Oreochromis niloticus: one gene and its partners. The protein of the gene in region 1 binds, or shares a complex with, the protein of each later gene. Links are inferred from orthologs where the notes say so. Each region holds a gene or a part of one and is shown in the gene's direction. Other genes may lie near its edges. The genes, in order: snw1, armc7, cwc15 and crnkl1.

What was found.
Region 2: snw1 (region 1) and armc7 share a complex: the UniProt entries of both Homo sapiens proteins name them as parts of the minor spliceosome. The link is inferred for Oreochromis niloticus from reciprocal best matches to the Homo sapiens genes SNW1 and ARMC7.
Region 3: snw1 (region 1) and cwc15 share a complex: the UniProt entries of both Homo sapiens proteins name them as parts of the minor spliceosome. The link is inferred for Oreochromis niloticus from reciprocal best matches to the Homo sapiens genes SNW1 and CWC15.
Region 4: snw1 (region 1) and crnkl1 share a complex: the UniProt entries of both Homo sapiens proteins name them as parts of the minor spliceosome. The link is inferred for Oreochromis niloticus from reciprocal best matches to the Homo sapiens genes SNW1 and CRNKL1.

The regions. Positions count from the first base shown.
Region 1 is NC_031980.2:2,829,098-2,836,382, forward strand, and holds the start of snw1 (SNW domain-containing protein 1), read left to right. Parts: upstream 1-4,276; 5' UTR 4,277-4,367; coding exon 4,368-4,381; intron 4,382-4,865; coding exon 4,866-5,019; intron 5,020-5,152; coding exon 5,153-5,314; intron 5,315-5,562; coding exon 5,563-5,658; intron 5,659-6,339; coding exon 6,340-6,446; intron 6,447-7,285. UniProt on the Homo sapiens protein: Involved in pre-mRNA splicing as component of the spliceosome. As a component of the minor spliceosome, involved in the splicing of U12-type introns in pre-mRNAs.
Region 2 is NC_031973.2:5,032,006-5,038,893, reverse strand, and holds armc7 (armadillo repeat-containing protein 7), read left to right. Parts: upstream 1-4,214; 5' UTR 4,215-4,434; coding exon 4,435-4,525; intron 4,526-5,279; coding exon 5,280-5,423; intron 5,424-5,505; coding exon 5,506-5,849; 3' UTR 5,850-6,373; downstream 6,374-6,888. UniProt on the Homo sapiens protein: As a component of the minor spliceosome, involved in the splicing of U12-type introns in pre-mRNAs.
Region 3 is NC_031975.2:10,962,833-10,969,973, forward strand, and holds the start of cwc15 (protein CWC15 homolog), read left to right. Parts: upstream 1-4,135; 5' UTR 4,136-4,275; intron 4,276-4,960; 5' UTR 4,961-4,971; coding exon 4,972-5,102; intron 5,103-5,296; coding exon 5,297-5,409; intron 5,410-5,512; coding exon 5,513-5,613; intron 5,614-5,707; coding exon 5,708-5,818; intron 5,819-5,930; coding exon 5,931-6,058; intron 6,059-6,170; coding exon 6,171-6,300; 3' UTR 6,301-7,141. UniProt on the Homo sapiens protein: Involved in pre-mRNA splicing as component of the spliceosome. Component of the PRP19-CDC5L complex that forms an integral part of the spliceosome and is required for activating pre-mRNA splicing.
Region 4 is NC_031980.2:23,432,767-23,439,681, forward strand, and holds the start of crnkl1 (crooked neck-like protein 1), read left to right. Parts: upstream 1-3,902; 5' UTR 3,903-4,046; coding exon 4,047-4,094; intron 4,095-5,315; coding exon 5,316-5,468; intron 5,469-5,753; coding exon 5,754-5,845; intron 5,846-6,057; coding exon 6,058-6,216; intron 6,217-6,585; coding exon 6,586-6,752; intron 6,753-6,915. Other genes in the region: cfap61 (cilia- and flagella-associated protein 61), read right to left, coding at 1,241-1,361, 1,449-1,516, 1,700-1,776, 1,939-2,089, 3,314-3,456. UniProt on the Homo sapiens protein: Involved in pre-mRNA splicing process. As a component of the minor spliceosome, involved in the splicing of U12-type introns in pre-mRNAs.

The DNA.
Region 1 (7,285 bases):
GAGGTGGCTTATAAAGGCAGTGAGCATAGTTTTGTAATTTCACAACAATGTAAATATAACTCCTGCACACTGTCTCACTTACTGCATTAGGACTTTGTAAATCTAGCGTGGAGGAGTTACAGTTAAATTGTTGTGGAACTTTTACTCTGTCACCCATTCAGGTGTGCAGAAATTTTTGAGCCATATTTTCTGTAAATAGTTCCTATTTTTTGTGTCAGGTTTTTGTTTTCACGTCAGGTAATTTCATGCAGTTTCCAAAATGTGTTTACTAGTGTCAGCTTCATTTTTGTTGTTTGAAAATCTTTAGTTTCACTTTAGTGAAAAAACACGTTTCTCAGAATAGATAATATATTACAAACACAGGAACTCAGTTTCTTTAGCCATAAATAGACATGGCCAAGATCAATTTCACACTGAGCATCAGAATGGGGAACAAAGGTGATTTAAGTGACTTTGAACATGGCATGGTTGTTGGTACCTAACAGGTTGGTCTGAGTCTTTCAGAAACTGCTGATCTGCTGGAATTTTCCAACACATCCATCCATCATCAGGGAACACCAGCCCATCCACATCAACAGTGTCAAGGTCGAAAGGGTCAGCAGCTTCAAGTTCCTTGGAGTCAACATCACTGAGGACTTCTCCTGGACCCTTCACACAGACACTGCTATCAGGAAAGCTCGCCAGCGGCTTTACTTCCTGAGGAGGCTGAGGAGGTTTGGCATGAACGCCAGCATCATCTCAAATTTCTACAGGTGTGCAATCGAGAGCTTGCTGACGAGCTGCATCACAGTTTGGTACGGAAGCTGCTCTGCCAGCAGCCGTAAATCACTACAGAGGGTGGTGAAGGCAGCAGAGCACATCACTGGCACGAGGCTTCCTGCCATTCAGGACATTTATCACCAGCGATGCCTCCGTAAAGCACACAGCATCATCAAGGACCACAGCCACCCAGCACATCAGCTGTTCTCCTTGTTACCATCTGGCAGACGTTACAGGAGTCTGTCTGCTCGGACTACAAGACTTAAAAACAGTTTTTACCACCAAGCCATACGACACCTCAACCACAACACTTAAACACACACAACACAGGACTCAGAAGCTACCCTGCAGCTTCACAAGTACTCTGTTTAATCTGCACTGGTCACTTCACTTTATTGTTATTGATATTTATATTTAAAAAGTGCAATACTGTAATTTTCTGCTGCTCATTCCTGTGCAATATCCCATCTGCCCTCCCGTCATATTTCTTTTCAAGATTTTCTTATTTAATCACTAGTGTACATATATTTATATTTATAGATACATATATATTTAGTCATCTTTTCTCTTTTACCATGTCTCTCTAATATTTTGTTCTTTACTATTTTTCTATTTGTTATTTTATTTTATTATATTATATTTTATTATATTTTTTCCTACTGTATCATGCTGCTGAGAGACCGCTGCTCGTCAAACACATTTCATTGCGATGTTGACCCTGTGCTAACTTGCATATGACAAATAAAACTGAAAACTGAAAACTCTCAGAGAATGGCTTAAAAAGAGAAAATATCCAGTGAACAGCAGTTCTCTGGGTGAAAATGCCTTGGTCAGAGGAGAATGGCCAGGCTGCTGATAGGAAGGTAACATATAACTACTCAGTACAATGAGGCTATGCAGAGGAACATCTTTGAATGTAGAACATATCAAACTTTGAAGTAGATGCGCTAAAGCAGAAGAACTACTGGTTGCTACTTCTGTCATCTAGGGAACAGAAAGCTGGGGATACACATCACACACTAACCAAAATCGGGCAATAAAAGATTCTCAACACGTTACCTGGTCTGTGGTTCAGGAGGCACAGCGAGTCATCTACTAATCGGAAGGTGTTTGGTTTGATTCCCAGTCTCCTACTCTGTGTTTCAATGCTTTGTTGATCAAGATAAGGATGGGTAAATGAGGCTTGTAGTAAGAATATAGGACTCATGCAGAGTAGAAAAGCACTGTGTAAGCACAGCCCCATTATTTCTGTTTCAGCATTGGCAGGGTCAGAATTTATCCTTCACAGTCTCCAGATCTTAGTTGTGCAATCTGCAGCAACTACGTGATGAGAGTATGGACCGTATCTCTAAGGAATGAAAGTGCTTTGCTTTAAGTGAACCTAGTTTCTATAAATTAACTCTTATTTTTAATATTTGGAATAAGACAAAATGTGCAGTTAATAGCTTGTTGATTATTTCAGTCTCAGAGATAAATAAATATCAAAGCTGAAACAAAACGCCACGCAGAGCTGAGTCGAAATTTGGGGTTACTATCTCAAAATTCATTACCTAGTGCAACTTTCAACTTACTATCTGAAATTTTGAGTTATTACTGATTAAGTCAAAATTTTGACTTACGGGCTGATTTTATTTTAATTTTTCACTAGTAGAAACAAGCTTTCGTATGGAAAAGATCATTTCAAAAGACAAGAAATAAAGAGAAGCAAACTGTCTTGTTACGTCAACTTGTTAAAATTTGCATTTAAAATGCATTTTCTGTGACTGTAATAGGACTTTTTTCTATTCAGTTTGTTACTGCATGATCTAGAAAATGTGCTATCAATTTTTAAGAACATAAAATCAAGAAATAACCACCCGAAATAAAACCGTGAACAGCACATCTTGAAGAAACAGATTGTGAGTTGTCTGGTTCTTCTTTTGGTGGTTAAAAGGGTAGAAAAATAGTCTGAATAATTTCAGTTCCAGAGACCTGAGGAGGCAGAAGCTGGGCTCTATTTCCTGTTACACCTCAAAGAAGTGAAAACAGTCCTGAGGGGAAAGCGTCAAAAACAACAGAGAATTCTTTTGTAGAAAGAGGAATTTTATAGTTGTGTAAAAATTCAGCACAAGTAAACAGATGCACTTCTTGACTAAATAGTTGGCTTGCCGTGAGAATGTTGTTATCAAACCAGTTCTGGAAAAAATTGATTTGTTTTTACAGAGAATATAACTCTTATTCCAAATAAAACACTTCTTAAGCACTCCTAAAATAATTCACACTTTTTAAGATTAAGGCAAAAGACCAGAAGCTTTAGAGAATAATTCTAACAGAATAATTGCAGAAGAAATCCCCGTGCTATCTTTTAAAAACAATGTTGTGTCATCAGCAAGTTGACTAATGAGAAATGTCCTGTTAGTGATAGAAGAGCCCTGTAAGTTGCTTGATTTTATATGTGAGCAGAGCAGCTGAGCAACAAGAAGAAAAAGATATGGTGAAAGTGGACAGCCTTGTCTGATGCCTCGCTGAACATTAAATCTGGCTGATGATCCATGTTTAAGCTTAATAGAGCAGTTGGCATTGTTATATAACTACGAAAAAAGGCAAGGCTTTTAAGTGAATGATGTAAAAACTGATGTTCAACCGTGTCAAAGGCGTTAAAACAATCTAAAAACAGAAAATAGCCATTATCTGGAATTATGTATGAGTAATTCAACATATCCAAGATAAGTCTGATATTACTGGAAATATGTCTGTTAGGTAAAAAGCCAAGTTGCTCTTCATCAGTTATTGTTTCGGAATTAGAGTAATTAATCCTTGAGTCATACTCCAGGGTAATGCATCAACTGATATACATTCATACTGAGGATGAAATAACTTATAGAACTCAAATGACAAGCCATCTGTCCCTGGTGATTTGTTATTTTTCAGCCTTCCTGTAGATTTCAAAAGGTTGAATCTGTTCATCTGGACATAGTGTTTTCAGTGGGAGAAACGTTTCATCACTCATCCAAGTGACTTCTTCAGTCTCAGCTGACTGCAGGTTTCCCCAACCTTATAAACAGTACATTTGAACAATAACTGAAACCAGCCCACTGAATAAACAATGGGCTGTGAGGTCAGTTCCTTAATCATTAACATGCAAATTGTCATGACCATTGATCAACAACCACTGATCAAAAACCATTGATCAATGGCCAGGAGTACCATTCACAGACTTTTTGACAGATAACAGAGTGTCACATAAATCCTCACCTTCCTTCCAGTTTGGGAGTGTTTTGTAAAGAGTTTAGAAAAGCCAGACCATCACTGCCTATAAAGTTTTTTTTATAATAGGATGAACAGAAATTAGTTATCATTTTCGGGTTATCAGTTACCACTTCCTCTATTCTTAAATGAGTAATTGTTTTCAATTTTGCAAGATACTTTTCTAACTTAAAAAGTATAAAGAATTCTGCTCTTCCTTCTCCAGCCACTGTTTCATAGACCACACAAATGTCCCTTCTGCTTTCCTCCTATATACTTTGTCCAGAACGTTTCTTGTTTAGTGGTTGTCGTCTATTCTATCGTGCGCATGTCTGTACTGTCTTCGCGCATGCGCAGTCTATCGCTTAGGAAGAAACGGGAAGATGTCTCTGACGAGGTGAGCTTCACGATAAAGCCTTTTGTATTTATAAATTGTGAAACTGTATTAAATAAGATATCGATTCAACTGATTGGTTTCAGGTGTATAGACTACGATTAATGTATCACACTGGTATTTGTGGTATGTACGCTGTCGGTTCTGTATCTGATTTAGTCGATCCAAACGGCTACGGCTAGCAAGTAAAAATGTCGCGAGTTCAACATTTAGCAATAGCTAGCTTATCAGCACGCAGCCGTGGTCACGATATGATGTAGTTCGTTGTGTAGACGTAGTTTAGTCAGCCGCGTGTTAAAGTTGGCTTCTCTAACATTTTCTTTTAACTTACCTTGATCATTGGCTATTTTAACTGACACTTACACGCGTGTCATAATTAACCTCGAAGCTATTTGTTGTCACTAGCGGCTAATGCTAGCCAGGGCATACAGCGCTTGTGTTACTGTTCATCACTTTGAGACTTACATGTGGATTCCTGTGTGTTCAGCTTTTTACCGGCGCCGACCCAGCTGTCCCAAGATCAGTTGGAGGCAGAGGAGAAGCTCCGGGCCCAGAAGTCCTACTCTACCGCCCTGGTTGCATCCCGTAGAGAGCCCCCTCCTTATGGACACAGAAAGGGCTGGATACCTCGCTCACTCGAGGTAAAACCTCTTGCTCATATGGGATAAGTTTCTTGTTTTGCTCACTTATGGTTGGGTCCCTTTTTGTCTAACCTCTACGGTTTGAAGATGAAATCAACCCTGAGTTTTCACAGCAAAATATGTGTTTCTGCAGGACTTCGGAGATGGAGGTGCTTTCCCAGAGATCCATGTGGCTCAGTTTCCTCTGGAGATGGGTAGAAAGAAGAAGACATCAAATGCCCTGGCAGTACAAGTGGATGCAGAAGGAAAGATCAAATATGATGCCATTGCCAGACAAGGACAGGGAAAGGATAAGGTATATGGGCATTTTATCCCTTCGACAGTTAGCAGGGATCCTCTCAACACACTCCAAGGATTTGTCTTTAAATCATAATATACAAATCAGCAATTCTCTTCTTAAAGCCTGAATAAAACCTCTCTCATGTGCATCACTTTCACACTGCCAGAAAATGACATTTAGGCTTTAGTTTATTTGCATGTCTGGCTCTGTTTTGATTTTAAAAAGTGGCATTCCTTTATTGGTTTCATTTTTCATTCTTATAGGTGATCTTCAGTAAATACACAGACCTGCTTCCAAAGGAAGTTCTCAATGAAGATGCTCCAGGACTACAGAAGCCAGATGAGGAGGCTATACAAGAGGTAAGAGCAGGTTTAGATTTGAGTACTCACTAGTCATTTTTAGAACCATTTACCAAAGAAGTAAAATATTTATATAAAGGCGTTCTCAAAACCAACAACTGCCACAAAGGGCTTTTTAGAGGTATCAATTAAAAATCTGCTAATGTCAAAGGAAAAATGCACAACGTATATTTTTGTCCCAGTAAAGTTGCTGAGCGAGTGAAACAATTTGTCATAATTAGTTTTGACAACTTTGTATTTAGACTTTTTAAACTTAATTGGTAAGAAGTGTTGGACACCAGGATGACTCTGCTTATCTTTAAGATTTGTTTTAGTTGTCATTATGAAATACAAGGTTGTCTAACAAAATTACTGATTCAAGTCCATTTAATCCTTCCTGCAAACTAAACCATAAAGGCCTAAATGAATGAATAAACAAGTAAAGAAAATATAAAGACAGTTCAGGCTTTGAGTACATCAAAGCCTGCGATGTTCTTGGTGATTGTTAATCTCCCGATTTTGCACATTGCTCAACCTTCATCAGTTTATGTTGTTTCCAGTCAGGATGCTTTCTTATTACTAAATGTTTAAGGAGTACAGTTTCTCTTGTGTCATGTGACTGCTAATAATTGCAAACAATTCCTGTATTGGATTTCTTTAATCTGGAATGTAAACATGATCATCCTTTTGTGTCCTTTGTAGCTCACAGAGAAGACCCGTGCAGCCCTGGAGAAGCAGGTGTCTCAAAAAATCGCTGCTGCCATGCCTGTAAGAGCCGCAGACAAACAAGCTCCTGCACAGTACATCAGGTATGTATTAGTCAGAAGATTATCAACACTGCACACAGTCAGGGAGGAGGGTGGGAAAGTTGACTTCCAGTTATTGTAGTGCTCTGTAGTACGTGGGCCTGAGGCCTTCTTAAACTTCTTTCAGTTCTACTCACGCTACTCTTAAATTCTTTTTATGTGGGTACAACAGCATATTGGTATAGCTTATTAACAGTAAGCTAATGATTTACACTAGCTAACATACGTACTGGAGTCTAGGAATCAACTCAGATCATCCCCCCAAAAAAATAACCTCTTTGTCCGCATCACTTTTCCTTGACTAAAATAGAAATCATGTGCGTGGGGGATCCAACCACACTTACATTAGACTCCTTAGTATTTTCATACTGGATGTCTGCCATGTGGAAACTGCAGTATCTAGAAATGTTCATCTTACACTGTTGTTTTATGAAGGTCATATATAAATGAGAACAACAAATGAAAAATATCACTTCATTACAAAGTTTGGAATTTTTTTTAGAAAAGGGACCCCGAATTTTAGAGCTGAGCATACATAATTCTGCTGCTCAACGATGGTGGGATGTTGATCAAATGGAGCATAACTGAAGTGAGCTCTGTTTTTGCACCCCAGTGCACACAGACTGAGCAACCTTTGATCATTTATGACCCAAACTGAAATGTCTGTCAGAGTACGGCTATTAATGGAGTTGTGTTAGCATGTTAGATTCATGTTTGAGTCTGAAAATGTGTGACTGCTGAAACAGCGGTCAAACAGCGGTATCTGCAGTTGTGCCACATGAACAGCATCTTGAGAGAGAATTTGCCAGTAATTATGTTTTATGCTCTTGTACACATCAGTC
Region 2 (6,888 bases), on another chromosome or scaffold:
TGAGGGAAAGTGTGAATGTTGAATGTTTTTGTTGAAACGTCCAGGCAAGAACATGTTAAATGACACGATACCTGTTCAAATAGCATCAATTAACACACAAATTCAGGTTTTTTTTACTTCTATATGATAATTCTTCATAATTAAAGAATAAGAACAAGTAGTCTGATGTTCTGTAATCATTATGAAGCTATAATTTGAAATACAATAACACATTACGTTTTTGTACAAAGTATCGGATCAGTATCGTCGATACCACCCTGAATTTGACTTGGTGTCTGATCAGAAAGGAAATCAGTGGTATGCACATCACCACTATGCAGCCGGCCTCCTTCAGAGGAGATGCCCCCTGCTGGTTAACAGGAAGAAGGCAAGATTAAGGGATTTCTGCACAGGCAGACCCACAAGCTACATCCATGTTTTGTATTTACAGTCTATGGTTATACTGCATCTGTTATTTTCTATTGTTAACTATCATAACTGCTGATGTACACAAGCGAAAGATACCCAGCTGGATCCTGGGAGGAGACAAATCCCTTGGCGGGTTGCGCCTGGCATAAAAAAAGTCTGTCAAATCAAACATGCGGCGCTACCTGCTGTGTTGATCCCTTGTAAATAACAGAAAAACTAAGAGTAGCTTTCTTTATTTTAGAGTGGAGAAAAGCAAACAAGTACATTTTCTCATGTAAGCACAATTTCTAAATCCTTTGAGAATTTAAAATTTTGTACTTCTTTACAGTAGAATGCTGGACTAGCTCCAAATGGCCTTTTCTCTCTATCTACAATGTTTAGTTATAAGTTACAGATCTTATATTTGAGTGAATAATTATTTCATGTCACACTGACAGTGAATTTAAAACCTTTATTTTGACAGTTCAGCGTCAGTTATTACTGAAAATACAAGTATAAGGGATTTTAGTCGTGTTACAGCCATCAGACTGAATACATCCCAACACCAAGGAGTTTGATTTTCCTGCTTCACTGAGCAAAAACTGAAGGCAGAGCTGATGTTTGTTGAACGGGATTAGCGTCTGTGCTTTGACTTTTAATCCTGACTACAATAAAGTCACACCAATGAAATACAAATGAAAACCTCCACAGTGTGCATTTTAAATAAATGATCTTTAATAATGTATAGCACAAATAATTAATAATTGAAGAGAGTTTCATTCATACAGTCCATTAGGTTGCAGTCAACTCTGCCCCCTGCTGGAAAAACAAGTAAGTAAAGGAAGATGCTGGTCAAGCTCCTTTACTGGGCATCTTGGACAGTGTTGTGTCCAGCCCAGATGTCTATACAAATCTGTGAGGGTTACTTCAATAAATCCATTACTGTAAGCAGGCCTCAGTAAAAATATTCAGCAAAGCCATCTTTGCACATGTGGACATGTGCAGCGTCCACCTGTGGAGACCTGCTCTGTATCACAGTCTGCTGCAGAGGCACTGAGGTTCAGGCTGCTGCCGCCTTCAGCCGCTCCCTCCTTGCTGCTTCTTCTCGGTCAGCTCGTCGATCTGCTTCTGCCGCCTCTCCAGGACCTCCAACCTCTTGGTGTCGTTGCGCGCTCGCTCCTGAGCCCTGAGTTCAACGACGTCCTCGAAAAACCTGTGTCTGCGCAACAGAGGAAGTATCGAATGAAAACAAATGAGAATTATGAGAATTCATTAGAGAACCAGAAAAAAATGGTAAGATTACAACCTTTCTTCTAAAGTGACGTGGGTGGTTCAGTGTGAGAAAACAGATTTTGATTTTACTTTCATGGAAAAATATAAAACTATAGCTTTACCAAAAAAAATGTTTTGTATATTCAGTTTCTCTCAGTTTAGTTTCAAGTAGTCTTCAGAGTGTTTTTGGAAACCTACTCTGTTTCCATTTTTCTAACAATAAAAAAAGAAGCTGTTGTCCAGTGTAACTAAATACTCATCTTTTCTTTCTCTTTTGTTGAATTTTGACCAAAGAATCAGCGGAATCATCAGGATTCATCCAGTGATGTGAATAAAAGCACAAAAAGTACTTAAACACATCAGATCACCTTTCCTGGGTTCACCTGATGTGATTCTAAAGACAACAGTGAGGATTAAACACGTTTTCAACCACAAGAAATCTAATCACAGTCATCGCAGAAGTCTGCTTGCTGTCGTTACTGAAGCTCTTTCTCCACTAAGTTTTAATAATGAGGTTATTTCAGGGCTCCTTCAAAGCTTTTAGGGATGTCAATTAAAAAGAAACAACCAGCTGTGTCAAAATGTCCAGTCCATACAACAAAGCACTGAACAGTAAAGATTTCTCTTTGGACTTTTGGTCACACAAAACACAGCTGTTCAATCTGAAGAGCTTCTCCACTGTGCTGTAAAATCGCTTGTGCACTAACGGCATGAACGAGTTAGTGGGACTAAAAGTTAATTGTATTGATAGGGCTTTTCTAGAGGTCTTAAAAACAACATCTGCAAATTCAATACCTTTAACATGATTTAAATATTATTAAAGGCATTTTAGATACAGCCAGGCAGGAGGTTAGAGCCCATCTCAGCTGTTACAGAGCAGGTTATCAGTCTGCTGCAGGGCCAACACAGACAGCTGTTCACAGTTCAGTCATTTTATTGTTCCTGCCGTTAAACCTGGTTTACAGACAGGCTCTCCAGAAATCATGCACAAACAGCAATACAAAAACAACAAACAGCAATACACAACAACCACAAAATAAATCCACATTCAAAATACACCAAATATACAAAATCATAATGAAATGTATCACATAAACTGATTTTATAACGCTCCTGCACAGGGAACAGAGCAGCTCTCTGTCCTCTTACACCTTACTCGTGGCACTGTCGGCATTTCTTAATTGAATGTTACTTAACGAGACCTTGTAATAACCTTGAAGCAAATCTTCATAGCTGGGAACTAGACAGTTTTATGTCAGTCAGGGAGCTCATGGACATCACCACATACTGAGTTTCCTCACTCGCAAATTCTCCGCCAGATTCTCTGAAATTTATTCTTTCTTTTTTTTTTCCTTGGGAATGTGTCTTTTTTTCTTTTTTTTTTGGGTATTTATCGTCTTGGAACTTTGCTCATTTTTTCTTGGGAACTTAATGATTTTTTTCTCATAGGTTTGCATGTTTTTTCTCATAAATTTGTCCTTTGCTAATTTCTTTGAAATGTCCTATATCTTTCAAATAAGCTTGCTTTTTTTTTGATTTTGTAATTTAATGCCTCTGAACTTTGCTCATTGTTTCCTTAGAAATTTGCCACAAGTATGTCTTTTGTATATATACATATATACAGTATATGCAATTTATTTTCTCGGAAATGTGCTCCGTTTTTTTTTAACAAAGTTAGCATATTATTGCCTTATAAATTTGACAATTTTTCTAATAAGTTTGTCCGTTGTTTTTCATTATTGTGCCATTATTTCTCGTAAATTTGCTATTTTTTTTCTGATACGTTTGCCATTTTAAAACAATAAACTAGCTATTTATTTTTTCGTTAATTTGGCATTTTTTCCCTACTAACTTTGAATGCTTTCTCTCTGTAAATTTGCCCATTTCTTTCATCAAAAATTAGATTTATTTTTTTTTTGTAAATTATCAATTTTTCTAGTAAGTCTGCCGAATTTCTAAAATTCTGACCTTTTTCTCTTTAACTCCTAAAGGGCTGCAGAATGCTGGGCCTAATACGCAGTCGTACTACTTCCCCTGTAGCACCTTTTAACAGCAAAGTCGTGCTGCTTTTATAATCTTCACTTCTGATCGGCTCTTTCGGAGCTGCATATTTATTAGGTGTGCAGTAAACACTTGCATGTGCACATGTCACGTACATCATGTCTGTTACGTACAGGTGGCTGAGCTGTAAACACGCTTTAACGTTACCTGTTAATGAAAGCAGCAGCGAGTCCAACGATGATCGTCCCGAACAGGATCGGTTTGGCGAGCCGTTTCCCGGCGGATAATTTGTGCTGCTTCATTTTCGTGGCTTAATTTTGCACTTTAAACACTGACCTTCCCCTACAGTTAGCTGAGGTGCTGTACACGCCCCCTTCGTGTCCCACAGTTTTTAGCAACTTCCGGTACCACGTGACACTAGCTTCCGCTTGACAGTTTTTCTATTTTGTGTCATGTTGTATGAGGGGGTAGTATTGCCACATTAACAAAAAACTATGATAGACGACCTTTAACTGCGTGTGAAAAATGTAAATCAGATTTGATTCTATGTAAGTGCGGCTTGACCGTATGTTAGCAGATCGAAACTGATTTTAAAACAAAAATCGTTTAAACGGAACCTTTGTCTCATCCACGCAGCTACACGGAGCAATTCATGGTCAGACCGAGCCGGGAACGAACTGAGAAGAATAATCTTAAATCATTTCCTCGAAAAAAATCTCGTTTTATTTTATTTATTCATTTTTTAGCTAAAGCGGAGAGCGGAGCTGGTGGTAGATGATGTGGAGGAGCGGCTCGTCCGGAGGCTCTGACCGCTTTGAGTATTTACAAACTCTGGTCACCGAGTTTCAGGACACCGACAGCGACGGTGGGAGCAGCTGTGTTTGGATTCACCTTTAAACTCACTACTCTGCTTTCTTCTGTTATCTTTTTTCCAATCTTGCCTTTTCGTCTTTCTGCTCCAGCATAAGATCCACAAGACAATAATATGAATCATAAAATAAAGTAAATAGAACAAAAACATTAACAAGAGGTACCTACAGAAAGCCTAGGTGCTCCTCTTGGGAGACGTACATCATCAAATAATTATTTAAAATTTGAATTTATTAAATACACATTTATTAAATTGAAATAATTAGTTTTATTTAAAATATATTTCAGTTGTTATTATTTCATAGTTCTGGGCTAAAACACATCATGAATTTATGAATGAATGTCAACCTCACCTATCAAAGTCAGGGGGCGGGGCTAATGCTGATCTGGTCAGTATCTTTACCTTTCCGGAGTCGATTCTTTCAGTGGGTGTTTCTCAGTTGCAAGTACGCTAAGGAGTCCAGCCGTTCAGCTTCAGAAAATGAATTATTAATTCAGCGCGTGTAGCACATTAGCTGTGCGCAGGCAATCCGGGCATGGACTGCAGCATTATCTGGGATCAATCTTCTTAACTTGCTGTGCAGGGTAACCAATCAGATTTTAAGGTCTGTTGACCTGCCACAGATAATTTGAAATGAACTAATATTTTAATGAATTAATTAGACTTTTAATTAAATATTTGTCTATTTAATTTTGGCACTCCATAGTTCTCATTTTATGTGATTAAAAGCTTTGTTTTTCCTCCTCAGAGGCGAAGGAACAAGTTCTGGCTAATTTGGCCAATTTTGCATATGATCCAAAGAACGTGGAGTATCTGAGGGAGCTGCAGGTGACTGACCTCTTCTTGGACATGCTGACTGAGGAGAATGAGAACTTTGTGGAATTTGGGATGGGTGAGTGTCACATTGACATCTCGTTCATTGTCTGCAGCAACTGTCAAGCCTTTATCTCTGATTTTGTCTCTCGTGATCTCAGGGGGGCTCTGTAACCTCAGCATGGACCCTGAGTGCAGAGATGTCATCCTGCAGAGCGACGGCATCCGCTTAGTCACAAACTGCTTGTCGAGCCGGAGGGAAGAGACGGTCCTGTCAGCCATCACCACCCTCATGAACCTCCTGACACCTGTGTCACGCTCTCAGATCACCGATCCCGCCATCCTGCAGTGCATGCTGCGCTTCTCCCTCTCCGAGAGCCCTCGTCTACGCAACCTGGCTACCGTGTTTCTGCAGGACTCCTGCAGCGAGGAGCAGGTGGCGCAGGCGCAGCAGCAGATGGAGGGGCAGCAGATGGCAGTCGGCATCCCGCTGCCCAAAGACTAAAGACAAAGCACAGACCTTTATTTTTTTTATAAGTGTGCTCTCTGTGAGAGCGTCACAGATGATTCACCCAAGGGAGCCAAAATTCGATATGTTGTTCCAAAAAAAATAAAAACATATTGGATGTCCACTCGTAAGAGGTAATGGATTCACTTGACAAAAATGATGCTGATTTTTTGGAATTAATAAAGTTATTATCTCATTAACTGTGAGTAAACCTTTCATTATGAAAAGTGTACTCCCAGTTTATGAGGTATTTAAGGCATCAACAAGATACCTTAAAATACCAAAACAGCAGTGACATGATGGCTGCCCTCTGTGAGCCTGGTTTCTTCAGGTTTCTTTCTCTTAAATGGGAGGTCTTTCTTCTTGCTGTCGCCAAGTGTTTGGTCAGAGGCAGCTGTTTGATTGTTAGGGTTTTCTCTGTATTACTGTAGGGTCTTACAATATTACGTCTTGAGGTGACTATTGTTGTGATTTTGTGCTATTTAAGTAAATTTGGATTAAAATGAAAGCGTGTGGTTAAATTTGACTTCGAGTCTGAAGCCCTCTCAGTGGTCAGTAAGATCAGGAAATTCTTCTTCTTCTCTTCTTCTCCCTCTGGGGGTCATGTGCCTCCATCTAAACCTATCCGAACATCGTCCTTTGTCACACCAATCCTCTGCATCTCATCCTTCACTACATCCACAAATCTTCTCCCAGGTTTTTTTTTCCCTCCTGCCTGGCAGCTCAGGCTTCCTTCGTCCAATATATCCACTCTCCTTCTTCTGCACACGTCCAAACCAACTTTAGCCTCATCTCTCTAACTTTGTATTCTAAACACTCAACCTGAAATGCACGTACATTACATCTTAAGCTTTAAATCAAAAGCCTGACATTACTGCACTCTTCACATATTCTTTCAATCCTTTTGGAGGATACATCCAGAAATCCATAAAACTCAATCTTTGCTACTTGAAATGCTATTGTCCCTCTTAACCATTGTCTTGTATACTAAACCAAGTATAGACTTAACTAATAACATGTTATTTCTTTGCTTAAC
Region 3 (7,141 bases), on another chromosome or scaffold:
GCTTAGTGCTTTAATCTCTTGTGATGAATCTTTCTGGAGATGTGCCAGCCCCAATTAAGCAGGTCAAATTCATTATTCATAGAAAAGGAAAGCAATTCAGATTTGGTAATGAGCCCCTTCTCACACAGGCCGTGAACAGGGGTGTGAAGTCCATTTTTGTGCCGTATTGTGTTCTCACCTGTTTGTGTCAGAGCAGATCAGTGTCGGTCCTCCTCCGGGTCTCTGTGACACGCGAATGAGATAGCAGAAATACCTTCACCGGAGCCCCACCCCCTGCAGTTTCAGATCCCGCCCCCACCCCTCTCCCCTGTTAGTTTTGAAGTGCCGCACCTGGATGATGCTACACAGGCTCATTGAGCAAGCGGATAGGCTGGGTGATAAGAGGGACAGCACTGTTTTGTGGTTTCGATTTTTCTGTGAGTGTGAGAAGTCACATTCCAGAGATGTTTTCTAGTGAGATTTTCAGTCTTTGCTGAGAAGCAAATTAAAAATAGGCTTTTATAACCTGCCTGACAGCTTAAAGGTATTTAAATGAACCCTGCAGGTTAGTGCTTGATCCTGTTTTCTTTCCTACTAATGGCTATAGCAGGGGATTAAACTGAACTCAATTCTGCTCAATATTAATGTAATCTCTTTATACACTTATTGGTGCGACCCTCCACAACAGTCCCAGTTTCTCATGTGGCCCCATGGGAAAATTAATTGCCCATCCCTGAACAATAGCCTTTGTGCCACAGAAAAAAAAGTAGACAACTGAAAACCTGCATATCATTAACCACAAAAGTTTTTTTTTTTTTTCAAATATAAAAAGCTTGTAGTATTGTTTCACCCACAACAAAGACTTTCTTTCACAAGCATACTGTTCCAGTTGGTAGGCTTCTAGGAATCAAGCGGGACCAGATCTCAGAGTTGTTCGAATTTAATCTACTGTCTCATCAGACCTTTTTAATAATATTTACATTGAAAATCCTTGAACCGAAATGCCCATTCTCTCCAGTGAAAATAAAAGAGCACGGAGAAAAGCTTAACCTCATTATCTGATGTTTACTTTACATTTTAATAAACTGAAATATTCACATTTTGGTCTGTGGGTGTACAGGGGACTCTGTGTGCAAAAGCGATTAATGTGTTTTTTAATTCTTGTAATGGCTGTGGCTCATAGGGTATACAGCAGGTTGGTGGTTGAATTGCTGGCTGTTCCAGTTTGCATGCCGAAAGCATCCTTGGGCAAGATACTGAACCCTGAGTTGTTTCCAGTGTGTTCATTGGAGTGTGAGTGTTAGACAGGAAGCACTTTATGTGTGAATAAACATTTTGTATAAAGTCCTTTGAGTGCTCAGGTAGAGTAGAAAACCAGTATATAAGAACTGGTCCATTTACTTTTCAGGTTTTTAAACGTAAGGGTATTCACTTTCTTTCACTGAGGCTAACTCAAAACCTGTAAAGATGCCATGAAAATGTTTAACTTTTTTTTTTTATAACTGTGTCATTCTTTTTTATTTTTCCAGTTTTCTCCCAGTTTCTATACTTCAGTTTGTAAAGTTTCACAATAGGGATGTGTATGTGTGGGTGCACAAGTATAAGTATATATATCTGTAAATTTGTATATCTTTTGACGTGTTACTCAGGTAATAAAAGCAAATACATGTAACAAATTGTAAGGAAGAATTTATGATGGGTAGGGCATGAACAGGAAGAAAAAGTGTTGACTATTAGTTACTAAATAGTGGAAAGGTGGTGGGATTAAATAATTTTATGCTTCTTCCTACTCCTTTTTGAACATGTAAGTTATTTATAATTATTATTGTTTTGTTTTCCTTTAGTTTTGCTTTGCTTGTTTGTCTATTTAAACATGTTCAAAATAAAGATACAATACAAATACAAATAAAAGTATTGCTGCTTAGACAAAAAATATTTGAATGGTAAGTGGAATCCAGTAGAACCACTTCTTTTCCTGGTTCTCTCACAGAACAGTATCGAGATAAAAGAGAAACCATCGAAGTGGTGAATGATGTGTACAATTAGTAATGAAGGAGTGTACTTTTTTTTGTGTCATTAAAATGCATGTTACAAACATAAAGGGGCCAACGTTAAAAGTGTGTGTCTTTTTCAACACAACTAAGTTATATTACTACTAATAATAGAATAATAGCAGTAGGAATTTTGGTGAGTGTAGCAACACTACTACAAAACTACTGAATGTACAGGGTGGGCCATTTATATGGATAGACTGTAATAAAATGGGAATGGTTGGTGATATTAAAGTCCTGTTTGTGGCACATTAGTATATGTGAGGGGGCAAACTCCTCAAGATGGGTGGTGACCATGGTGACCATTTAGAAGTTGGCCATCTTGGATACAACTTTTGTTTTTTCAATAGGAAGAGGGCCATGTGACACATCAAACTTATCGGTAATGTCACAAGAAAAACAATGGTGTGCTTGGTTTCAACATAACTTTATTCTTTCATGAGTTATTTACAAGTTTCTGACCACTTATAAAATGTGTTCAATGTGCTGCCCATTGTGTTGGATTGTCAATGCAACCCTCTTCTCCCACTCTTCACACACTGATAGCAACACCGCAGGAGAAATGCCAGCACAGGCATCCAGTATCCATAGTTTCAGGTGCTGCACATCTCATATCTTCACACCATAGACAATTGCCTTCAGATGACCCCAAAGATAAAAGTTTAAGGGGGTCAGATCAGGAGACCTTGGGGGCCATTCAACTGGCCCACGACGACCAATCCACTTTCCAGGAAACTGTTCATCTAGGAATGCTCAGACCTGGCACCCATAATGTGGTGGTGCACCATCTTTCTGGAAAAACTCAGGGAACGTGCCAGCTTCAGTGCATAAAGAGGGAAACACATCATCATGTAGCAATTTCAAATATCCAGTGGCCTTGAGGTTTCCATTGATGAAGAATGGACCCACTATCGTTGTACCCCATATACCACACCAAACCATCACTTTTGTTGGTCCAACAGTCTTGGAGGGATCCATCCAATGTGGGTTAGTGTCAGACCAATAGCGGTGGTTTGGTTTGTTAACTTCACCATTCACATAAAAGTTTGCCTCATCACTGAACAAAATCTTCTGCGTGAACTGAGGGTCCTGTTCCAATTTTTGTTTTGCCCATTCTGCAAATTCTGTGCACCGATCTGGGTCATCCTCGTTGAGATGCTGCAGTAGCTGGAGTTTGTAAGGGTGCCATTTGTGAGTAGCTAATATCCGCCAAAGGGATGTTCGACTAATGCCACTCTCCAGTGACATGCGGCGAGTGCTACGCTGTGGGCTCTTGCTGAATGAAGCTAGGACAGCCACTGATGTTTCTTCATTCGTGACAGTTTTCTTGCGTCCACAGTTTGGCAAATCCAACACTGAACCAGTTTCACGAAACTTAGCAAGCAGTTTGCTAACTGTAGCATGGGAGATGGGTGATCTCGTAGGGTGTCTTGCATTGAAATCTGCTGCAATGACCCGGTTACAACGTTCACCAGATATCAACACAATTTCGATCCGCTCCTCACGTGTTAACCTCTTCGACATGTCAGTGGCTGTGCACAAAGAGAAACTTGTAAATAACTCATGAAAGAATAAAGTTATGTTGAAACCAAGCACACCATTGTTTTTCTTGTGACATTACCGATATGTTTGATGTGTCACATGGCCCTCTTCCTATTGAAAAAACAAAAGTTGTATCCAAGATGGCCGACTTCTAAATGGCCACCATGGTCACCACCCATCTTGAGGAGTTTGCCCCCTCACATATACTAATGTGCCACAAACAGGACTTTAATATCACCAACCATTCCCATTTTATTACGGTGTATCCATATAAATGGCCCACCCTGTACTGTGTTAGAGTTGTTTGTGTGACCATTACAGGGAGGTTTTGCTTTGAATGCATCTTCTACGCATCTGTTTGAGCGTTGCACTTAACAGCATCCTCATTTAACTCCTTCACTGTAACACAACGCACTATTCAGAAGACAGGTCACTCCTCCGCTGATGCCCCTGCAGTCTATTTAGTCTATCAGTCTTTCGGAAGTGGTGGTTTCCAAAATAAAATTTAGAGAGGCTGTAGCATATTTGTTAAGTTATACGCGTAGACCCTAGTGGTGTCAACGCTATGTTGAGATGTAAGAAGTTTAAAATCTCTGATTTTTCGCACGCTATTTTCTCTGAGTGTTTCTGAACGCATCTTTTTTTTCCGGAAGTGACGTTGATTGTTGTATCGGTGTTCCTTTCGTCGTGTGGTAGCGGCTTTGTAAGTGTTGTTTCTTTAAACCTAATTTTTAAATACTGCTTAATGAATTTTTTAAATTTCCTTTATTTTTGGCTGTAATATCACTTCTCTGAAACATTATCCGTCTTACCGAAGGCTCGAATTAGTGTCGTTTTCAACCTCATCGGCGTTGTTATAGGAAGTTAGCGTAGCAGCGTTTTAGCTTTAGCAGCTAGCAGGCTAATTTGTTCTTTTCATTTACTGCCTTTTAGCAGCTGATATTTATCTTACAAAGAAGTATTTAAAATGCCACAGTCTCAATTTAATCAGAAAATTGTTAATTATAGGTTTAATTGGTTGACCTGGAGTTTTAGCAGGTGAACAAATGATATTTATTAGGAAAATTACGTAACTTGTCATCTAAATGCCTCTCAACTGTTATTTACGTTGCTAATATAGATATACACGTGAACTATAAGCGGTTTGATCACCACTGAGGTTTAATGAGTAGGTAATTGATATTTGGGAAAGGGTATGTTGTACCAGCTTGTCTAAAAACCAAAAAGATGAGCCTTCTGACTTTCTATAAGGCACATAAGTGGAGTAAAAGCGTGTTGTGTTGTAGGGCACTACAATTTGATTATGGACACCGTGTCTGCTCTGCTTTTTCTGCTTGCAACTTTTCCACCTGTTTGATAGGTTTAATGTCTTCTTTGTCCCATTGCAGAGCCATCAAAGATGACTACAGCTGCAAGACCAACATTTGAGCCGGCAAGAGGAGGGAGGGGTAAAGGAGAAGGTGATTTGAGTGCTCTCTCCAAGCAATACTCCAGTCGAGATCTTCCAGGTCACACAAAGATCAAGTACAGGTCAGAAGATCAAATGTGAATGGAGTTTTATCATTGCCTGATCTGCTGGCTGGTTAGCTAGAAGGAAAGATGCTTTCGGATCAGTTTGTACTGCATTATCTGTCTGCTCACTGTGAGATTGGTGAAAGTGTTCCAGAAAGCGTTCTGGACGAAAATTACAATTTATTGATCTGCTAATGTTTTCCCTTCTGCAGGCAACCTACCCAGGATGCCCCTGAGGAGGTCCGTGCCCGTGACTTTCGTAGAGAGCTGGAGGAGAGGGAGCGTGTAGCAGCACGTGAAAAGACCAGAGAGAGGGGACCAAGAGGTTGGTCTTTCTGCAGAAATTAGACTTCCTGTTTATGTAAAATATATTTTAGTGTATATTTATTTTCTCACATATGGCATTATGTTGGTCTTATTTTTTCCAGAGCACACCACATCATCATCATCTTCTTCGTCATCTTCAAAGAGGCCAAGACTGGATCAGATCCCAGCTGCTAACCTTGATGCTGATGATCCTCTCACTGATGTGAGTGTCTACAATGCAAGACATTTTGGGCACTTAACTTGAGTAGTGGTTAGTACTGATTAATCTCCCTTAACAATGATTTTTATTTTATTAGGATGATGAGGACGAGGACTCTGATCAAGATAGTGATGATGATGACACTGCAGCTCTTTTGGCTGAATTGGAGAAGATTAAAAAAGAGCGTGCTGAAGAGCAAGAACGCAAAGTAACTGTGTTTTAGGCTGTTCTGTTTGCACTAACTAAAATAAGACGTTACATTTGGTCAGAAGAAATATTATTTCTTTGTATTAAGTAAAATTTTCTTTTTTCCATCTTAGGAGCGAGAGCAAAAGGCAGAGGAGGAGAGAATTCGAATGGAAAATATCTTGAGCGGCAATCCACTGATTAATTTGGCTGGACAGCAGCAACAGAACCAGACACAGAATACATTCAGAGTCAAGAGAAGGTATGTCTCACTTATACACAGTCACCCACAGTATAACCACAGGATGAGCTTTGTATTTGAGAAAAAGACCTCTTAAATCTAATCTTGATTTCATTTCCTAATATTATTCAAGGTGGGATGATGACGTAGTGTTCAAGAATTGCGCCAAAGGAGTGGATGAGGCACGGAAGGAGAAACGCTTTGTCAATGACACACTGCGCTCTGAATTTCACAAAAAATTTATGGAGAAATATGTAAAGTAGAGGACTTCCTCTGTGTTATTTGTATTGTTTTTGTTTTTATTATCTAATGTGTTTGGTCTCCTTCCTCTACCCTCTGTTGCAGAGGGTACATGGTTTTTCAAATAAACTCTGTATACAACTTCATTAATACTTGTACAGTCATCCATCTATCCATGCTATTAACCACGTATCCATCTGTACAGTCATGCTGTATATAAATGTGTCAACGTGACATCTTTGAGTGAAATTTGTCAAAAGTTAAGTGCAGTTTTTAAATGTGACCAAGCATTTATTTTCTTTTGGGTTTTTTTCAATAAACTGGCAGAGATTATATAAACCAGCATCTCCACAAATGCACAGTTAGATTAGGATCCAGTCAGATCATCAGATGGAAATGTCTTCCTTCTGTTTAGCCACTCCACACACACAAACATTTCATTTTAAACAGTGTAGAGATCTGCAGTCAAGCCTTTATTTCTTTATGCAGCCATCTGCCATCGACTTTTTTCTGCTTATCTTATTCAAGGGCACAGGGGCGCTGGAGCCTGATTTAGACTTCTGTGGGAAATTGTAACGTAACCGGAAAGCCTTCTTAACCCTACACCGCAACCTGATCTGCACCACTTGAGAAATATAGCTACACATCAGGTCGAAGCAGACTGCAACAACTGAATGACATGGAAGGTTAGAGCGTAGAGTTAAGACGGGTTTCTGGTTGCAGTAGAAAGAACAACTTGGATTTCCTGCAGAAGTCTAAATCAGGCACATCCCAGCTGTCATTGGGTGAAAGGCACAATACACCCTGTCTGTCGCATTTCTTGTCAAATTAATTTTTTTTCAATAAATTGTCTTCATATTAAAC
Region 4 (6,915 bases), about 21 Mb from region 1:
TTCAGTGCAGCTATGTAGTGTAGTGGTTTACACATTCAACTGACAGGCAAAAGACCTACAGCCCCAGATCCCTTTAGGATGTCTCAGGAAGGGTATCTGGTGCAAAAAGTCTACCAAAAAAACATGTGGAGCTGCCCTCTGTAGCTTCCTACTACTGAGAGAAAGTTCTTCTGCCACCTGGTGGCCAAAAAGAAAAGAAATTCAGCTTTAACTTTACCAGGTGTGCTGTCGAATGATCGCTTTTGCTCAGGGAGGTTCCCAATATATATATATATATATATATATATATATATATATATATATATATATATATATATATATATATATATATATATATGTTCACATATTGCATCAGTGAGTCCACTGGTGTCTGATGTAAATTTCATCGTCAGACAGTGAGTGTGAGCCTCTGGGCAAACATCCAGGTGCCTTTACAATATACAAACTACGCAAGTGCCCTTCAGGCAGACTTCAAGGAAGTGTAACAAGAAGGAATACTCTGCTGTGTTTGCCCGTGTCCATGCCCACAACCTTGTATAAGCCCTGCTTAACCACAGCCATGAAAAATTAAACATGCTTCAGGGCTTCCTTTATTACGTCCTTCAGTAGAGGATAGTTTATGAAAAATGGAGATAATACCATCCCTCAGTTCAAAGTGATGCACCATCAGAACAGTCACAATTCTCATATGCACATTTTTCAAAACTAAATTCATTGTAATTACTGTTGAATTTTCCATCACAGCTTGCTAATATGTCAAAGTGCTCTAAAGGTATATCAGCTTTATCAACTTATAAAGTTGTTTCCTTGTTAGAAGCACTTTATGACAGGTTTAGAAAAATCCTTATCAAAGGCAAGAATTAGGGGATCAGGAAAGCTATTTCATTTCCCCTTGTGACTGGAAAAGGTAACGAGCTGCCTCCACTGTTCTCCTGGAGTTCCTTCTTTCTGGGTTTTGCATTTTCTCTGTTTTCTCTGGCAGTTCTACGTTTAACACCACTAAAAACATCCTTGGTCCTTGCATCTTCTGTGGCATAACTCTTATGCATTATTTAATAGCCTATTGTAATTTCAATCATGAAATAAACTGTTGTGCTCATAGAATCTTAGTTCTTATGAGTTCTTCGTCACATCTTACATCAAAATTGATGTGAATAAATGTTTATTTATAGTACATCCATCTACACTCTTTTATTCACTCTACTGTTTAGTAGCCTGGGGAGGAATCAGTAGAAATCACCTGGCTGCGCGCACATGAGGCCGGGGACAGTGAGCTTTTCTGTGGCAGATCAATGCCAAGCACTGAGGCCCGGGGTCGGTCAGACGCTCCAACGGCTCAAATATTTCATCCAGTGCCGGCTCTGCAAGCACAAAAAACATCTGTCTGAGTCTCTTGGAAATTAATGCTTAAGTGAATTATAGACTTTAACTTGCTAAATCTAAATCACCTAAACCACCAACGTGTGGGCTGAGCAGACAGACGTATTCAAGCTCAGGAATGGCGTTAAAGATGGACCTGCGAAACAAAGCGCATCAAGAAAAATGATAATTTTACACATACTGCATTCACCTTTCAGGACACCTGCATACTGTGCTTGCTTCTAATCAAAGTGCATTGTAGTATCTACCTTGCACTGATATATGAATCTTATCGAATGATACAAGAATTTTTAAAAAAGGGGTCTTTGTTTGTTCATACCTCATTATCTCTTTCACACTTGCTGTGGTGAAATCCGTCCGTGCCACAAAAAGGTGGAGGAAAAGTGTGTTGAGAGGCTGCAGAAAGACAACAGTTTAATCCACTGCAGGTGTGAGCTCACTTCATTTCATTTCATCTAAGCAGAGTATGGGCACTTGGCCACATTCATTCCAGGTGATGTTAATTGCCTCTACTTAACGAAAACCTTATGTTAAAATCAGTAAATGAAAGGTACAGACTGTGCATTGTCCAGCACTGAAGTGTTCCTGCAGGAAAGCTTCCCACTGCGTCTGATCCACCAGATCTCCAATAGGGTGATCAAAGAAGGAAGCGTGGCCTAGGATGTCGCCCTTTTCATTGGTCAGAGTCACAGCCAGGTTAGCTTTCTCTCTGAATGAACATGACAAGAAAGCTCAGTGATGGTCTCTGTAAGTGTTTGAAATTAACTGAGAGCACAGACGTCTACATCAATCACCACATAATTGTGATGAGAGTTGCATCCACCACACGTTTTCAGAGGCAACTTGGTCCTCTTAGATCCTCCAAAGGAAAACTGAAAGAAGCAGTTTGAAGCAGTTGCTATGACCGTCAGGTGGAAGTGGGAGAGCTGAGAGAAGAGCACCAGTTAAGGTGGTTAAAGCATGTGAATCCCTCCTAGTTGAGGTGTTTTGGGGATGTATAAGCCCCCATAACAGAGACCACACTGCCCTTAGAACTAGAGGTGGGGAAAAAATCAGCATACTATCTTATTGCTAAATTTTCTGTGGCAATATTGTTTTGATAGAGGGAACCAAATATTGATATTTTATTAAATAAATTAAAATATTCTTTGAATACTATGAACAACAGGCGTAAGCCCACACACCACCATTCTCTCATAATGTTACATTTCAACTGCGTAATAAAAATAGAAACAAAATCTAACACAAAGTTACCTCCTAATTCACAGCAAGCTAATTCCTCATCACAAAGCATATGATCTACAAAACATAACAAACAAACAAACCATCTACAAAACACACACACACACACACCCTCCAAAGGAAAAAAACAAAACAAAACTAGATGGCTGTCTTATGATTGAATTTTTTTCACAAATGATTGCCTGGAGCTCTTACAATCACTTTTGATCACCAGGCGATTGCACAGGTCGCCTGATGGGAGGCAACCTTCCTGCAAACAGTTGTAGTCTGACTTTGACTGACTGCAATCATTCTCAGAGAGATTTTCGAGAGCTAACTCCCATCCCCTCCAACACTATAATTCTCCTACAGTTCTCAGCATGAAAACTGATGTGAGCAAATAAACAAGAATAGATACTGTGAAAACAATATAACCATTACACTTAAGACAAGAATAAACCACCATACAGTCGGTGGAGAACAAAAGTAATATTATAGCATAGCTATATATTAAAGAGATGATAGAATTCTTGCGTTTTCATGGAAGTTTATAATTATTTTTGACGTTTTAGAGACTACATAATTCAAACAAATTATCTAACAGTGATTAAAACAACTTATCCAGCTTGTAGGTGTGTTTGTGTTCAGAGAGCATCTAGTTTACGGTCTAAACTCTGCCGCTGAGATGTTTAAGAAGAAAAACTTTTCTCACAGCAGATGAATAACATTGACTCTTCCAAACACCGCCTGCGCAGAGGGACTAATGAGGCCGTCGATCTCTTCAGCGTCCGCGGACTCGCTTCTCCTCACGGTCACCGTTACCTCCCGGGCGCTGTCTGAGGTTACAGTCCGCATCGTCACCCGTATTATATGGACAAATAGTACTAATAAAACTACAGCAGACGAAAGACTGCCTTTTTGTAATAAACTGTAATATCAGGCTGGTGGATAGAAGAAGGTGAAATTTAATATAAATTTATTTAACTGAATTCAGCTCACTGTTTTCACCTATGAAGAGCTCAAACCCAGTTGCCATAGTAACGTGACGCCAGAACTCCCGCGGTTTAACCGGAAGTCATGAAGCAACTGTTTAAAGCACTAAAATCAGTCTAGAAACGAGTTTTTAGTCTTCATCAAAACTTCCTCAGACTGGACAAATGGACTCAACTGAAGTCTGTTATAGTGAATATATTCTCTATATCGGACAACGTATATATAAATTATTCAAATGGCATTGGCGAACAAACGGTAGATGGCAGCAACACGTCTGCGTTTTGAAGAAAAAGAAAAAGAAGAAGAAGACGCGGGGCATTGTGGTTACTGTCACGGTGGCTGGCGCTCGGTGAGACGGAAACGTTTCGCTGCCTGTTTGCGCCGTTTGGTAGTTGTCGTGACAGTTTAAGTGAGGTTTTTAACGTTGTTTGTTGGTTAAACCGGCCATCAAAATGGCGTCTACGGCAGCAGGCAAACAGCGGATACCGAAGGTGGCGAAGGTAAGTGAACAGAGCAGTATCAGCGCTCCAGGCTAATGCTAACATAGAACTCGGGCTAACGGAGCAAAATTAAAATCTAATCTCATCTTTTCACTGCCAAAGTTACTCACAAAAACGTGCTACACTGTAGTACATTTAGGGCTATTTTACCTGATGAACAGGTAGCTCTGTGGTCTGAGTTTCACACAAGTTACATTAGCTGTAAACTTTCACCACGCTCTGCTTTGTTTTGGCTTCCATGTGTTTTACGTGTCCTTAATTTAGTCTTGTTTATATTAGGATTTAAAATCTGGTACATTTGAGTTTCTTTGTGTCTTTAAAGTTAGAAGTGTGTTTAAAAATGACTATTATAGTAATAGTATGTGAAGGAGGAGTGGACTGTGATTGTGTTTACAGGCGACAATGTGATCTGTATTGAGAGTAGGGAGCTTCTGGAGGTATATGGAAGCAAGACAGAATACATGTGTGTAAATGAGAGGGAGGCGGGTGTACCAGTGAAGCTGAAAGGAGTAGAGGAATTGATGGTGGATGAGTTTAAGTATCCGAAGTGAACCATCCAAAGCAACGGACAGTGTGCGAGAGTGGTAAAGAAGAGAGTGCAAGCAGGTGGAGACGAATGTCAGGGGTGATTTCTGACATGATAGAGGCAACTGAGAAAGCTTACAAGATGGTAGTGAGACCTGCAGTGATGCATGGTTTGGAGACTGAAACTTACAGGAGGCCGAGCTGAAGGTCAGGGACAGCTCTCACCAGTTGCTTTGGAGACAAAGTTAGAGGCAGAGATGGTTCCAACATGTGCAGAGGAGGGCTAATGGATATACTGGTCAAAGGATGTTGAAGGTGGACCTGGCAAGCAGGAGGAAAAGAGAAAGACCTCAAAAGATTGATGGATGCAGTGAAGAAGGACATACAGAGGGTTGGTATGACAGAGGATGATGCTGGCATAGGGTGAAGTGGGGATAAATTTTGGTGACTCCTAAAGGGGGGAATCAAAAGAAGAATAAGATGATGATCAGTCACCTCAAGGTGCTTTATATTGTAAGGTAACATAAGCGATTAAAAACTCCAACAATCAGGAGAACTTGGTGTCTCTGGGGAGGAAGAACTCTATTTTAACAGGAAGCAGGTTCAGGGAGAGGCTGTCTGCTGTGACCAGTTGAGGGGAAGAGAGGAAAGACTAATTTTGTGCTCACGCTAATTGTATTTTGTGCTGTGTTTTAGGTGAAGAATAAAGCTCCGGCAGAGGTTCAGATTACTGCAGAGCAGCTGCTAAGGGAAGCCAAAGAGAGAGAGCTCGAACTCCTGCCACCACCACCGAAACAGAAGATCACCGATCAGGAGGAGCTCAATGACTACAAACTGAGGAAGAGGAAGGTAAGCACTTCCATCATATTTTCTCTCCTGGTAGTGTTCACATTGCTCTTACTCATACTGCCATTTTTGCAAGAATTTTTTCCCCCACTTTATTTATGTTTAAAAAGCCAGCATAAAATATATTTGAGGTGTGATGCTCTCTGGCTTTACTTCTGCTCTAATAGTTATGTTTAGTTAAACAAATGTGTTTGTAGTTTTAATCTAACAGGAAAATTTGAGATGTTTCCAGCACACAAAAATATGTTTTTATAGTTTTTGGACATGATGAATGTCTTTTTCTTTCAGAGCTTTGAGGACAACATCAGGAAGAACCGGACTGTCATCAGTAACTGGATTAAATACGCACAATGGGAGGAAAGTCTGAAGGAGATCCAGAGGTACTGAAGCAAAAACAGCTGAAAGTCAGAATATTAAATGGCTACAACTTCGCACGGGGTCAATCACAAACAACTTAGTCTTGGTTGTACTGAAATAAGTAGAATCGGTCTTCACATCTTTTAACATTTTAGTAAATGTTTTAGAATTTTTTCTCATGCCCATGTGTCTGCACTGTCCACTTTTACCTCACCAACGGTTACCCTCGTTTCAGAGCTCGTTCCATTTACGAGCGGGCGCTAGATGTCGATCATCGCAACATCACTCTGTGGCTAAAGTACGCCGAGATGGAGATGAAAAGCCGCCAGGTGAACCACGCCCGCAACATCTGGGACAGAGCCATCACCATCCTCCCACGAGTCAACCAGTTCTGGTAGGACTTAAAAATCATTTAATCGCCATATTTATTTCTTGATTGTTTTGTCTGTAAAATATCAGCAGGCTTTGGCAAGTGGCACAAGTCACAATTTTCAGTCCTTTTCTGTAGTTAAAAATTGAATAAATGTATTTGTTGGCTGATACTTTATTGACACTTATCTAACAATAGAGTAGCTGAAATGTAACCTGATGTAAATGATGTGTTTTAAACTTTGAAAAGTGCATCGTGTGTGAGTGTGAGTCTGCTTGTGATTGTACAGTTCTTATGGAGAGTCTTTGCTGTGCATTTGTTGTCTGTTTTTCTTAAATCTTCTGTGTTTCTTCATTAAGTGTGTAATATTTTGAATGCTGTTCCTTTGCACAGGTACAAGTACACCTACATGGAGGAGATGCTGGGAAACATCGCCGGCTGCAGGCAGGTCTTTGAGCGATGGATGGAATGGGAGCCTGAAGAGCAGGCCTGGCACTCTTACATCAACTTTGAGCTGCGCTACAAGGAGGTGGAGAAAGCCCGCACCATTTATGAGCGATATATCCTTTTGTTGCTTTTACTAACATGCAGGGAACTATGTGTTTCCCCACAGTTAAATTCAAACAATATAATAAAACTTTAAAATAAAGAAACAAAAAGCACGATCAGGGTGATGGTCTGAGTCGTCCCACAGAGCTTGAGTTCATTATTGTCAGGGCTGTT